2 linked regions of the Drosophila melanogaster genome follow. Changing the gene in region 1 together with any one later gene gives a genetic interaction. Each region holds a gene or a part of one and is shown in the gene's direction. Other genes may lie near its edges.

Region 1 (7,917 bases):
CCTCCTTAAAGAACTGCTGATTACTGGAGTTGTTCTTGAGAAGATTCAATAGCAGAATTAGGCAATCCTCCACAACAATTCCGCCATCCGAACAGCCCTCCTCACGGACAATTTCAAAAAGGCGGTCAAAGGCATTCTCAAAGGCCACAATCTTTTGGATGTTTGAGTTGCCCTTGGTCAGTTCGATAAGCAGCAGAAGGACATCGTTGCGAATCACTTCGCGGCTGTCCGTCAGCAGATCCATCAGCTTGGAAACGCCCATCGGACTGACCAGAATCAAATCCTGCAGCTCCCGCGTCTTGTTCGAAATGAGGGACGTAATCAGTTGGATGGCAGCGCGACGCACTCGAAAATCGTATTCGTCCAGATAGCCCATTACCAGGGTTACATGCTCCGGTGTCTTGATGAACATCTCCGTGAACTGCTCGCCCACATTCACCGAAACGGTGGGATTATCAGCCTCCTCGTCGAACTCCTCGCTAGTAACCACGTTGCACAGTGTGTCCAGCGCATAGCTGATGATCTCTGCATCCTGTCCGTCGTTCTGGAGCACCTGGACCAGCGGAGGCATGCCCTGTGCGCCCACCTCGATGCGGTACTTGCGGGACAGGGCTTTTAGCGCTCGGCAGGCATCCCGTCGATCCTCCAGGAGCGTTGAGGAGTAGACACGGTCCACCAGCTTCTCCACCGTCTCGGCGGCACTCGGCTGCTGACCCGGCTCCGTGCTGCCCAGCACCGTTTTGATGCCACTCTTCAGGAACTCCATGCGAGTGTGTGTTTACGGTCTATTCTGGGTTTTTTCGCATTCAACAAGACACGTCAATTCATGAAAACAATTGACGGGCGGCTTAGCGATGGCTAAAGTCCGATAGACGCCCACTTATCGATAAGCGGCTTGTCTTTAAATATATTAAATATATTTTTAGAATTACAATTTACCATATTTGACCATGTTTGTGTAATTACCTATATTTACACTTTTTTGATAATCTAAAACTTTTTTTTGAATTACATAAAATATTGCTACTTTCTAGCTGACGTCGGGACTTAAGCTGAGTGGCATCCCTGTCGGCGATAGTCTTACTGCCAAAATTTTATTAAACTAAAAACGACTCGACAGCCCTGGTGCTATCGATGCTATAAGTAAGTTGAAAACAAAACTAATTTAGCAAATTTGTGTTTAAAACTAAACGAGAGAATCCCAAAAAATACAATATAAAGCGTTCCACACACGCGGCGTAAGAAGTTCTCAAAAATATCAACACAGTTATCACGACGCTGGGAGAAATCACTCGTTTTTATTACGTAATGCGGCAAAATGTCAACCCATAACATAACAATCCCCACATCAATTTGTGTAAATCATATGTAAATCTCGCCATCTCCTGTGCTTGTCTTGCAGACCTATGGGCAGTGGGATTGTGGTTCAATTGGCTCGAAAGTACGGCGCAGTGATATTCTTTCCCACTGTTGCAGTCGGATCGATTTACGCAGATTGGTCGCACACCCGCCAGTGGAAACGCCAGCAGCTCCAGTTGGCACACCGAGCCCAGCTGAAGGATCAGCGCTAAGAGGATACACAAATATACACCATGGTCTTGGGACTGGATAAGCGAGCACTGTGGGGCGCGTTGCCCCTGCTGGGATTTGCCATTGGCCACTTCCTGGACAAGAAGGAAACGGAACGTATGACCATGTTCCGGGACAAGAGTGCCCTATACGGCCGTCCCGCCGGCAGCGAGGGTAAGGCGCCATCCTGGTAGGCCTGCCCAACATCGCCATCCCAAAATATTATTTTTTTTCCCCCAATTCACTGTTATTCAATAAACCGGAGAAATGTGAAATACGCCTGTCGTCTAGTTTACCTGCATGGCCAGCGGACGAGATTTGCGGTCGGGAACGTGATTTATTTGTGAAGGATTGCGTACCATTGTTTGTTTTACTCAGGAAAAACATAAAAACCTCAACACACGTCTAACGATAAGCCGAAAACCAATGAAAAATCCAAGGAGATAACTCGTTTTTCGAAGGATTTTACCTGGGCATCGCTGCACGATATGCGAGTTCTGCTTAGTTCGGATCAGGGGCGTAGGCTGGATATTTTAGAAGAGCATTGGTGTATTCTACCAAAACTCTTATTATTTATTGTAGAACTTCTTGAGCATGTCACATAAATCACTTGAAATGTGGTAACCGAGAGTAGTCTTTTTAAATGAGTTTCGTTAAATGGCATTGAATTATCTAATACATGTGAATCGAGATTTTTAAGAATTAATAGAAAAAAAAAACTTTTATAAGCATGAGCCCCCTAAAAACTTTCATTTGCACGACCATGCCTATATGTACTATGTAACTGCTTCCAGTAAAAACCGTTAGACAGAATGGATAATCGCTCACTTCAAATATGAAATATGAAATCCGATAAGGACATTTCCACTTTAACAAACAAGGCAGCAAATTGAAATGCCAATGGAACAAAACTAATTTATTTTTATGGCTCAGGGCTAGGGGTTTGTACTCGGTTTTGGATTCCGGTTTAAGATCGGTTTTGGGCTCGAGTTCCAAAATTGAGCGTGATGAATCGCTGGAATTGTGTTCTTGGGCGTGCTGCCCCTCTCTAGACCATTGTTTCCAATGGTCAGTAGTTTGTACACAGGCGCAGTGGGATCAAATGGAACGGATTTTCCAGATTTTCGCCTTTCAAGGGCTTTCTCTCTCTCACAGCGGGGGAGAGCGTGAGCGAGAGGGTGAGATGCCAGAGATTTGCAAGTGGATACCGTTGAACTGTGGTTGGGAGCGAGAGGGTAATAGCACGATCTTTGTTCCTGGAAGGAAACGAGAGATCCAGACGTGCAACAATAACATAACAGTGCTGGTGTCTCTCGGCGGGAAAATAGCCAAATTGGGCATTAGCATGCAGGTGCGAAAGGGTTTTATGGAGAGGTTATTTATATGAAGGTCAGGTTGAAATGACTGCTATCAATTTTAATCGGTAGTTGTCTTGTATATTGGTTTTTAAATAGTTTTGTATTTTAATCCATATTACAATTTCTTAATTTAATGATGAAATAGCTATTTGTTTATGTATGTAATTATATCATTAGATTGCATATTTGCAAAATGTATTTTGTAAAAATTACAAATCTAGCTTGTTTTTAGAATATTCATTCTTCCGCCCTATTTAGCGGGGTAGCGGCACTACTTAAACCTCTCTCTCGCGCACTTGTTGTTGCTCTCTCTCCCGTTCTTGCAGGTAGCAATGAGAATTCCAGAAATCCTGCATCCCAAAAACCAGTCTCAAATCGTGTTTGGGTTTTGTAGCAAGCGGATCATTTGTAATCGGCGGCGGAATACCCAAAATACCCAAAGAGTAAAAAAAAGACTTAAGGCAAAATGAGCGGAGAGGAATCTGCCGGCATGGACTTTTCGCAAAAGACCCTGCAGGATTACGAGGTTTTGGCCGTGATGGGGAATGGATCCTTCGGCACCTGCTACAAGGTGCGCGACAAAAGCACCGGTGAATTGTTCGCCTGGAAGGGAATGAACTACGATGAACTGGACGAGGCCAAGTGCGACGCTTTGGTTTCGGAAATCAGTGTTCTGCGGCAGCTCCAGCATCCTAACATTGTGCAATACTACCATCATCTGGTGAACCGAGAGGCCAAGTCGGTGTACATTGTTATGGAGTGCTGTGCCGGCGGCGATCTCGCCCAGATTGTCCAGCGAGCGAGATCCCAGAGGCAGCGGTTTGAGGAGCCCTACATCTGGCGGGTGCTCTTCCAACTTTGCCGGGCGCTTCAGGTGTGCCACAACAAAATCCCCAACGGAACCATCTTGCATCGCGATATCAAGCCAGCAAATATTTTCCTGGATGCGGCCGGGAATGCCAAACTGGGAGATTTCGGTCTGGCCAGAATGCTGCGACGAGATCAGAGCTTTGCCGCCTCCTTTGTGGGCACTCCGCACTACATGAGTCCGGAGTTGGTGAAGGGCAGGAAATACGATCGGAAGAGCGATGTCTGGGCCGTTGGTTGTTTGGTATACGAGATGTGTGCCCTAAGACCGCCGTTTCGCGGCAGAGCCTTTGACCAGTTGTCCGAGAAGATCGCCCAGGGTGAGTTCAGTCGGATTCCGGCAATCTATAGTACTGATCTGCAGGAGATCATCGCCTTCATGCTGGCAGTGGATCATGAACAGCGTCCTGGCATCGAGGTTATCATTCGGCATCCTCTGGTGGTGCGTAATATTAGCGAGTTGGATGGCAAGTTCCCAATTCTAGTTGATTCTGGAGAGGATTTCTACACACTGCCTTCGGGTGCCAGGCTTTTCGAGGACGAAGAGGAAGATGGAGTTCATCCAGAGCTATCGAGCACCATGTTTACGGAACAGTACAGCTTCAATGAAGGCTATGGGCAAAGGAGACTCAGCGTTACTGGTGTGTTTACTCCAGATTTGCGAAGTGAACTCTTCTACTCCGCCAAGCGCAAAATCTTTCCTGCCAAGAAACTACAGCTGTCGGATCCCTCTCTTTATGAAAGTATAAGGAGAGAGGAGCGAGCGGAGGAGAGGCAGGTGGAACTGGCGGAAGAGCGGCGCCGTAAAAAGGATCAGGAGCAGCAGAAAAGGGATCAGGAGCTTCTAAAGGAGGCCCCTAGCAGTCCTCGTGCTCTTACCCAAAACATATTCGATGAAGTACTAAAGACCCGTCTCCACGCCATTCGTGCCCAAGAATCCCTGTTGCAGCAGAAGCTCGAAGAGCTGCAGACCCGGGAGCAGGAGTTACAGCTGGCCGAACAGCGCGTGCAAACGCTGGAGCGGCAGATGCAGGAAAAACTTCTTCAGCAGGAGAAACACACTTGTAGTTGCAGACAGCCGATAGCTCCGCCCATTCCTCCTAGGAAGCCAGCGAAATCGCACCATGATGACACCTACTGCACTATCGAACTCAACGAGACGTCGCCCACGGTGGCTAAACTCAATTTAGCCACACTTCCGGCACCAAAATCGCTAAATACTCTGCGTAAGGTTACCTTCAAGTCGCCCCAAAAGTTTGTTACCTATGGTATCGAGAATATGCCCCCACCGGCGGTTAAACCGGCAGTGAATCCTCCGCCCACTGGCGTTCCCATGCAAATGAGCGTATCCAGCAATGATTCCGGTGACAGCCAGGCCTCCTCCACCCGCAGGAAATCTATACTCTCGCTTTTCGGGTTGAGTCGCGGATCCAAGGCGACATCCAAATCCTTGCCATCGGTCAACCAGGTAGCCCAAGCAGCTGCAACTCGCGTGCAGCGACCTCCTTTGGCCGTCAAGCCACCGATCACGCAGGAACAGCCGGCAGAAGTTCCACCAGTGGCCAATCTCTGGACAAAGGAGCAGAAGAAACAAGCCTTCGAGCTGCTGGCGGCCATGAATGCAGCCGAGAGGGAGGCAAGCGGAGGTGGAGTCGTTGGTTCTGGACCCGGAGGAGCACGTCGCCAGCATCTGCGGCAATCGGTGAGGGAACGGAATTCCACGCTGCAGCGGAACCGCATGCGGAGGTCTTTGGTGGTGGCCACTGGCCATCAGAAGCTAACAACGCGCGACCAGATGGTGATCTGATCAAATTGATCAGGAAAGATGTGCAGTCCAGGAGCCATGGCAACCATGGAGACTATGAGCGTTGTGATGTGGAATAAGTTCCGAAATATTTACATTTTTTTTATGCAAAAATTTTTTTGAATGCCATATTTTAAACACGTATTATTAGCATTAAGATTCCAGTTTTTTCAGCTGCCATTCATTGTGCAATTTGCATTAGTCTTAAAATAAATATTGATGAAATGAGATACATTTGTGTTTAAAATTTCAATTTTCGTGTTTTTATTTATTGTTGTTCGCTTGTAACCGTTAAGTTCAATTTACGCATTTTCAGTGCTGGGTATTGTAAAAAGAATATATAAACTTAGCATTGCATCTTTACAGCGTAGTTTTCAAGCAATATACTTAAAACAGCAAAAATTAAAAATTACATTTAAAGAATGCTAACTAATAGAAAATTACCAGTCGCTTTAATCTTATTTAACAGTTGCCAACACTTTTACCGCGCCAGCTGTTGCCTATCGATAGACCGATTACCGGTTTGTTACGCAAGCAACAGGTCTGGCGTGATTTCTGATTGGATTCTTGCCATTTACCTGTGTGATTGCTGTGCTAGTTAATACAAATTAATTAAATTCCAAGATGTCCGCCCGACTGCTGCAGGCCACGCGTCGCTGGAGCGCCCATCGCAACTACAGCTCCAAAATCGCCGAAGTTGTGGTGGTTTCGGCAGCCCGCACACCAATTGGCAGCTTCCAAAGTCAATTGGCCCCACTGACGGCTACCCAATTGGGAGCCCGTGCCATCGAGGCGGCCATCGAAAAGGCCGGAATTGCGAAGACCGATGTCCAGGAGGTGATTATGGGCAATGTGGTATCTGCTGGTCTGGGACAGGCCCCCGCCCGTCAGGCTGCCATCTTCGCCGGACTGCCCACCAATGTATGCTGCACCACGGTGAACAAGGTGTGCTCGTCGGGCATGAAGGCCGTTATGCTGGGCGCCCAATCCCTGATGCTCGGCTATGCTGATGTGGTCGTTGCCGGCGGTATGGAGTCCATGTCGAATGTTCCCTACTATCTGAAGAGGGGAGCCACGCCCTATGGCGGCGTCAATCTCACCGACGGCATTGTTTTCGATGGCCTCTGGGATGTGTACAACAAGTTCCACATGGGCAACTGTGCCGAAAATACGGCCAAAAAACTGGAGATCACACGTCAGCAGCAGGATGACTTTGCCATTGAATCATACAAGAGATCGGCTGCCGCGTGGGCCAACAAGGTGTTCCAGGACGAGATTGCCCCGGTGAAGATTCAGCAGAAGAGGAAGCCGGAGATCGTCATCTCAGAGGATGAGGAGTACAAGCGGGTGAATTTTGACAAGTTTGGACAGTTGGCCACCGTTTTCCAAAGGGAAAATGGCACTGTGACAGCCGGAAATGCATCCACCTTGAATGATGGCGGTGCCGCCGTGGTTTTGATGAGTGCCGAGGCAGCCCAGAAGGCGGGCATTAAGCCGCTGGCCAGGATTGTGGCCTTCCAGGATGCGGAGACCGATCCCATTGACTTCCCCATTGCCCCAGCTCTGGCCATTCCCAAATTACTGAAGCGTGCCGGCGTTCGCAAGGAAGACGTGGCCATGTGGGAGGTCAATGAGGCCTTCTCCCTGGTCGTTTTGGCCAATATCAAGAAACTGGATGTGGATCCAGCCAAGGTTAATGTTCATGGAGGTGCCGTGTCAATTGGCCATCCAATCGGCATGTCCGGAGCCCGTCTGGTGGCCCATCTTTCGCACAGCCTGAAGAAGGGCGAGCTGGGATGCGCCTCCATTTGCAATGGCGGCGGTGGAGCCTCCTCCATTCTCATCGAGAAGCTGTAAAGGTCACCTGGCGGACCTGCTCTCAACCAGAAATGCATTTACTACTGATCCATCGAGATTATTGTGGAAAGCTCTATGTTTTTTTTTAAATTGTTAAGTGTCTTGATTGCGCGTGGCCGCATTTAACGAACTATTGTGATTTGCATAATAAAATTATGAAACAGTCAATAATTATTATATGTATATCAAATCAGTGTTCTTCCATGACGGTAATAGGGTTCAAAGTCTAAACATCTTATATTTGTTCTGTGAAAAAAATGAATTAAGTGCTGAAAATGTTCTTTATTGTTGAATTTATATATATATATATATATGCCTATAAATTCACCATTTAATATATACCTAAAAAAATGATAATTTCGGCATTTAAGGATATTATACCCGTTACTCGTAAAGTAAAAGCATTAGCATTCTCTCTTGTTTTCATAATTTATTTAGTAATAATAAGTAAAATATTTTGTT
Region 2 (7,711 bases), on another chromosome or scaffold:
TGCTCGCCATGAACGTGAAGTGGCATCGCGATTGCTTCCGGTGCAACAAGTGCGAGAATCCTATAACCTCGCAGACTTTCACCATCGACGGGGACAAGCCCGTGTGCCCCGCCTGCAATTGCTAACATCGTCCCGGATAACCATGGTGCATCCTTGCTCTTCCTCCAAATTGTTCATTTGCTTGCTTACAATAATGTTGAAATAGTTCCCGAAGCTTAGTAAGCCTAGAGGCATGCAAGAAAACAGACTTACACATTTAACACACAAACTTAATACACACACAAACACTAAATAAAAATAAAAAACAAATATGTTAAGTCTCTGTATTGGGGTAGACAGGTATACCCTAAGATTTGCCTTAGTGGTGTTGGTCACCCAAAATAACATTCTGATTACTGTGAGATAAGGTCGAGCAAGCCCTTTCCAATATGTTGCAGCCTTTCGTTAAATAACAAGCTTTTGGCAGCACTTTAAATAATGAATTATTTAATTTTAAAAACAAAAATTGAAGAGCTTTAAAAAATCTTTCCGTTAAGATCGCAGTACAACTGCCTTATCGATTCTTCTCGATATGAAGTGGTGGCCGTCTCTTGGCGTAGTCACGAATCGGTTACGCAGATGTGTAATCTAGATAAATATGGAATTAATACAAAAAAATTAAGAACAAGATAGAATTTTACATACGAGTTCCCCGACTATCAGATAACGGTTACTCAGCTGGTGTGAATGCAAAAGCGAAATTTAATAATTTTTCTGGGATATCGATAGAAAAAAATGAGTAAAAATTGTTTAAAAATGTGGGCGTTACTGTTTTGGGAGTTTTTAAGGTGAAAGGAGTGGCGTGTCCACAGTGCTTTTGGTATACATATAAAAATTGCCAAGACAAACAATAAAACGAAGAAAAATCTAAACATTTTTCAAAAGTGCGTGGCAGTTTTTGGCTTTAGGGCGTTTGAGTGGGCGTGGCAGAAAGTTTTTTTTGGCAAATCGATAGGAATTTCCAAGACTAATAAAAATATCAACAGTTTTCAAAAGTGTAGGCGTAGCAATTTAGTGCGGTTTTAGGGCGTGGCAAAAAGTTATGGAATTATGAAGAAATAATTTTCAAAATTTCTAAAATGTTAGCGTAGCAGTTATGGGCGGTTTTACGGCGTTAGAGTAGACGTGGCAAAAAGTTTTTTTGCAAATTGATAAAAAATGAAATGTAAAAAAATATCAAGACTTTTTTAAAAGTGTGGGAGTGGCCGTTTTTTGCGGCTTGTGGGCGTGGCAGCATGGGCCAACAAACTTGCGCTGCATCGTTGTCTCTAGAATTTGTATGCTGAATCTCATACGAACAGACGGGCATGGCTAGATCGACTCGGCAATTGATCCTGATCAAGAATATATATACTTTGTATGTTCGGAAACGCTTCCTTCTGCCTGTTACATACTTTTTAACGAATCTAGTATACCCTTATTATACCCGTTATTGCTTGTTGTTGTGCTCCCATTTTGTGTGAAACATCTAATAGAAAGTAAAGTAACAACGGTGGCCCTGTGACAACTGTTTTGATATATGAGAACAGTACAATTACGAACTAGGAAAAACACACTGCGAAAAGAGGAAGTAGTGAAACAGGCGACAAACCCAGTAAGAAATACACCCAATCTTAAAATAAGTACAGAATTATAATTTGTCTCATTAATATTTGCGTTGCCCAGTGTTTATCGTTCCATAGCCATCTTCCGTTGTTTCTTTCAATAAAATAATCGATAGCTGCCCTGTTTTGTACATTTTGTATTTTAACCTCAATTTACGATATATACGAGCAATTCAATCAAAAAAGAGTAATTGAACAATCCCTTGGTAATGCGCATTAAAAATCATTTTTTATTAGCAGTTACCAATCGAGAAGCCAAAATGACTGAGAGCATTGTGTGTCACAAGTGCCAGGAGGCCATCACCAAGCGTATGATCACCGCCCTGGGCAAGACGTGGCACCCGGAGCACTTCCTGTGCCACCACTGCGATGAGCAGATCCTGGATGCCACCTTCAATGTTCAGAGCGGAGAACCAGTGTGCAACAAGTGCTTCGTGGAGCGGTACACCTACACCTGTGCCGGCTGCAAGAAGCCGATCCTTGAAAAAACCATCTGCGCCATGGGGGAGAGGTGGCACGAAGCTTGCTTTTGCTGCGGCGGTGCCTGCAAGAAGCCGCTCGCCAGTCAAACGTTCTATGAGCGCGACGGCAAGCCCTATTGCAAACAGGATTACGAGAACCTCTTTGCTGCCAGGTGCGCCAAGTGCGAGAAGCCTATAACGGACTCAGCGGTGCTCGCCATGAACGTGAAGTGGCATCGCAATTGCTTCCAGTGCAACAAATGCGAGAATCCTATAACCTCGCAGACTTTTACCATCGACGGGGACAAGCCCGTGTGCCCCGCCTGCAATTGCTAACATCGTCCCGGACCCATGATCTTACTCCAAATTGTTTAGTTCCTTTCTTACACTAATGTTGAAATAGTTCCCGATGCTTATGAAGCCTAGAGGCATGAAAGAAATCAGACCCACACATTTGACCACACTTAACATTTCGCACACGCACACACTAAATAAAAATAAATATGTAAAGTCTCTGTATTGGGGTGGCCAGGTAAACCCTTTTATCGTTAAGATTTGCCTAAGACCAACAACACCCACAACAACATACTGATTACTGCGAGATAAACTAGAACGCAAGCCCTTTCCCAATTTTGAGTAAATATTTTCCCCAAACCCAGTGAAAAGAAGCTGTCGAGGAAAGTGTGCTTGATATGAGATCATGTTTCCAAGGGTAAATATGCTACCCAGCCTTGGAACATGCACATCTGATTATCTCATAAACGCCATTAGTCGGTGGAATTATGTTGTTTGGAGGAGGGGTATCCCAGCAGTGCAGCGGAAAATGGAAAACTCTGCGAGGGTGTGCTGACGTGCCGTCATCGTGGAAAATTCATACATTCGGGTAAAATACACGAAGCGGCTTCGTTAGTCAAGTTTTCGTTACGATTTTGTGGGCTCTGCGGCTTTGGAGTTGCCGGCTGCCGGTTTCAGTTTCATTTTTCAAACGGAGCTCGTGCAAAGCGGTTCGGTTGGTCTTTAAGCGATTTTCCACAAACCAAAAAGTATTTCCGCGGAAAAGCTGCCCGAAAACGGGAAAAGAGAGGTGGCTAATTAATTACACTGTTGAAACTGTCCCATAAATAATTGCCGTTTGAGTCGAACAATTAAGGAGTCTGTAAAAAGCTGCAGCAGCTGCAAGCCTCCATAAATCGTGTCTATCAAAATCAAGATCGTGGTTTACGTATGTTGCGAACTTTGAAATTTATTTGCGATCTATGGCCAGATTTTCCAGATTCGGATTTTCCAAATGCAGCCAATATCCTCACGTCTAGTGGCACTGACAACTCAATACAGTATATCGTGTAGATTGGCATCAGATAATTGTGATTTAGCCGTGCGTGTTGAAGTGGAATTAGTTTACTCAATTTGCAACTTCAAGTAATTGCAGTTTATTGAGGAAAATATTTTAATATATTAAAGCTGAAGTGGCGGGATAACAGATTAGCTATAAATATATATATATATACATATATGTATGTATGCAAAGACACATCTTTGATAGTAAAACACTAAGTGTGGGTGGTCTGAGCGTTTATTCTAATTGATAATTATTTTAATTAATACAAAAGATATCTAATCTTGTACTTCTACATTTTAAATGCCTGTTAAGGTCTTTCGTGCTTGCGTTTGCTCAGGTGGAGGCAGAGCTTATAAAAATGTTAATCTTACAAATTATAAAATGTGGGATTAATTGGAAAATGTTTTATTTTGATTACCTAGGTGACAGAAAATTAATTGTTAGCATATGCAAATGTCAGTCGCGATGTGAATTTGCATTTTACGAATGTGTCTACAAGCGATCAGGTCTAAAAACTCAATCAATGGGATCAATTAGGGTTTGTAATACTTGCTATTGCTGACTGTGTTGGATCAAAAAGAACATCACGCACACCTTTAAAGCGGCTGTCATTCCAGAACCTTTTTTCGTGGAAATGGAATCCAAGCCAGGCTCTAAGCTTCCAGGCCAAATTTATTGACGCTACTCTGGCATTCTTTTTCAATTCGTAGATGTCTGTGAACGAAAAAATAACTTACAAGCCGATGGCACTGGAAAAGGTCCAAGCCTAAGTCAATAATATCATCGAATTATTCTATTTGGTTTTTATTCACAGCTCATTATACCAATACTCATATATAAAATACCATTTAAAGTTAGGGGAAAGATTGAAAAAGTAGCAATAATTCGATGAAACCAAATGAAGCAACATTTTTTTTTATTGTGTAAGCCATAATATTTTTAAACACGACACATTAAAAAATTTTTTTTTACATTTCTGTATTCATTAAATCTTTGCAATGCAAAATGTTCTTCATTATGATAAAGCAATGCAAAAGGCAAACATTTGATTAAAATTAAGCTCCCAGTACGCATTCTTAGAATCTTTTTTTGTCGCAGTGCAGTTAAAAAACAGTCGGGGCAGTCACTGGCACTGAAGAACCTCCACAGTCGTACTTTGACTCTTGCGGTCGTCGGATGTTTGTAAGTTTGCCGGCTTCGCATAAGTTTTATATGGAAATTGCCATTTTTGGCGTTTCGAGCAACAGGACGGCTATAGACGCACCTTAAAAGTCCACCCGGATCGGCTGGGTCGCGCTTAACCTTTAATGGGGAAACGCCATGGCCCGAGCCTTTGAGAGCCCCTCCAGTTGGCAACCGGTTGGCTTCCAGTGAATGTCTCTGAGTTTCTGTGTGTGTCTGCTGCAAAAGCCTCTTTGTGTCAAGTCGTATGTTATTAGCATCCGCCAACTGAGCTCCCAGTGTGTCAAAAGATTTGAACTTTAAAGTGCTCAGGTGCTGAAGAGGCCCACAGACGAAAAGTAGACAGCAGACACTTGGACTGCCAGTCAGTCAGTCAGTCAGTCAGTTAGTCGGTCTCTCGGTCTTTGAATACACTGCGAATAAAACTGTGATAATCGCACATTTGGCCATGCTATCGGAAACTATCTTTAGAAAATGTGCTTTATTTCAAGCAAATGTGATTGCAATGATTAAGAAAAACGGATAGAAGAGTGTTGTACTAAGTACCAAAATACCGAAATTACTTAAAGCAAATCCCATTTACCAATAAATTGAAATGATCCAAATTCAATGAGTTTCAGCTTCAGTTTACACAGTTTTTCCCATTCGACTTTTCGGCCAGTGTTTGTGAATTGCTTATCACGTTGTTTGACTTTGAGCTCGTTTGAATTATGCGTGCTATCTTCCATTGCCATTCCCCTGGCCAGCGGGTAGTTCACGCCGCAATTGTCTCTTTCGGGTTCTTTTTATCACACCTGCCGTGCACCGCTGGATACCACACATATGCCGTCCATCCATCCGCACTGGAGCGATGTGGAGTGGAGTACCTAGAGTACTCTGTGGGGTATGGAGTAGGTAGAGTACTCGCACGTCCACAAACTTTTTTTGCCTTTTCCTTGACACGTCCTCGTTGAGCGTTGCTTGGTACTTGCATAGAATTAGTTATCGTAACTAGTTCTATTGTTTTTCGTATTCAAAATTCATCAGGGTTTTCGGCAGTTGGTTAGGAAGTTTAGAAATCTTAATAAATTAGCATTACCACTGTATACAAAACTCTGGTAATTTTAAGCCCGAAACTGTCTCAAAAACCATTCAACTTTTTGACTTAAGGCAGCCAGAGCAAATTGTGAAGTAAACCCACATTGTTTGCCCAAATAATTTAATTAAATTATTCCACTTAAAAACCGATTGAGCAAACTGAAAGCCATTCGACATGGAGTGAATCGGCAAAAAGAACAATTAATAATGATAAGAGCAACAAATAGCACGCACCCGAGGCGCTCGACTTTTAAAATTTAGAATTAGAAAAATATAAAACAAAAAACAGAAAGCAACGCCAATAAGCCTCTCACCTGGCGCTGGCCAAAAATAGCAACCGAAGACCATTTAATAACAATATCAATATGCGAAACAAATTCAAAGCTCATTTTGAATTGCAATAATCAGAATTCGTAGACCGCGCGGCTCTTGAGAATTTTGTGCGGAATTAATTGAGTGATAAATTAGATTGCTTAAATGACAAACGGGAGCGTGGGCGCCGCTATCAATAAAAATAATTAGCAGTCATACCCTTTCAGTGGGTACATTGATGTTTACGAAAACTCATTTTGAAATAAAAAAAATTAATTTTCCAAATTGTTATTTTGGTAAACCTAAACCTCTGTTACTTGTTTTCAAAAGCTTACGTTCTGCACCAAAAACGAAAAACTATTAATGTTCGTGGTCTAAATATCCGCAAAACTCATTGTTATTTTTTCATATTTTCTGCTCTGGTTTTCGCACATTAATTGATAAATGCTACTTATCAATTTGTGGCAAAAGTAATTAAGCTTGTGACGGAATCGAACGTGGCTAATTGGATACAGCATTGGAAAAGAATACCATCACAGAGAAAAAAAACACGGAACATAAAAAATCAAACAAATAGCGACAATTTGTAGAGAAAACCCATTAAAAGCGACGTTCACTATGTGTAAATATGTAATGTGCGTCTACGAGTGAGCGAAAATTGCCGACTGATAACTGACTTTTTGAAAAAGTAACCACGATGGAGTCAACTACTATTGTTTTTGTGACTCTGCTCACAATTATAACCCAACGTAAACACTGTGCGGGTAAGTGAGCTACAAACAATTTAAGGATGGCAAAAATGTTAAGCTTTATTACTCAATGTGGTCGATTGGGTGATTTATCGATCCATTTCAATTTGAATTTAGGCAGCTTGGGAAACAAGAATAGTCGAAACAATTAACACCTTTTATAACTGACTACTGTGACAAGGCTTTGCCAAAATGGATTTTTTAACTTGAAACTAGTTAAATGTTTTATTAATTGGGTATTGGAGTCGTCGGTCAATGTATATCAACTTATATGTAGTAAAGCACGTTAACCCCTTTTTCTCCTGTTTCTGTGGCAAATGGGAATCTCGCAAAAGGCAATTACCCTCATTTCCATAGAGTGCCAGTGAACGAATCTCCCAGATAACCTTAACACCAATATATGCACAGTGGGAATGCAACCGAAGATATGATGTTTCCATTAGAGGTGTAATAAAGTGCAATCTCCTTTTATGACTTTTTTAGGTTGTTGTGCTCAAAGACGCACTGCTTAGCTCCTAATTATAGGCCCATTGCGTTCCACGCGACCAGCAAGGCTCTTATTTTTATTCGCCTGGCACAGGTGTGAACTGACGTCTTGACAAGTTGGTAAGCGATATGTGGGCCCGGCCTTTCGCTTTTGACTTTGCAACCAACTGACTGACGCTGATGGACTGGTCTACCGACCAACTCCCTGGGGCCGCTCCATCAATGCCTCAAACTGGGGGGAAAAAAAAACTTTACACATTGGAAACATGTAAATTTCAATTTCCGCATAGTAAACTCAGTTCGTCCTTTGTTGAATATTAACTTTAAATATTACTTACTTTCTATTTTTACAAATGTTTTCTAAATATCATATAACATTATCATGTCATATATTTTCTTTACAATTTTTTACCTTTTTACTGGGTTTGATTTGATTTCTATGCTTGAACGAGAAATTAAAAA

The links.
Region 2: of Nek2 (region 1) and Ret, changing one enhances a phenotype caused by changing the other (phenotypic enhancement), as found in Drosophila melanogaster (one study listed by BioGRID).

The regions. Positions count from the first base shown.
Region 1 is NC_004354.4:7,886,976-7,894,892, reverse strand, and holds Nek2 (Nek2), read left to right. Parts: upstream 1-3,246; 5' UTR 3,247-3,393; coding exon 3,394-5,601; 3' UTR 5,602-5,827; downstream 5,828-7,917. Other genes in the region: p115, read right to left, coding at 1-766; CG45089 (uncharacterized protein), read left to right, coding at 1,407-1,571; ND-MNLL (NADH dehydrogenase (ubiquinone) MNLL subunit), read left to right, coding at 1,593-1,763; Acat1 (Acetyl-CoA acetyltransferase 1), read left to right, coding at 6,223-7,455.
Region 2 is NT_033779.5:21,194,130-21,201,840, reverse strand, and holds the start of Ret (Ret oncogene), read left to right. Parts: upstream 1-3,078; 5' UTR 3,079-3,188; intron 3,189-6,344; 5' UTR 6,345-6,711; coding exon 6,712-6,778; intron 6,779-7,711. Other genes in the region: CG31988 (uncharacterized protein), read left to right, coding at 1-125; CG31624 (uncharacterized protein), read left to right, coding at 1,904-2,440.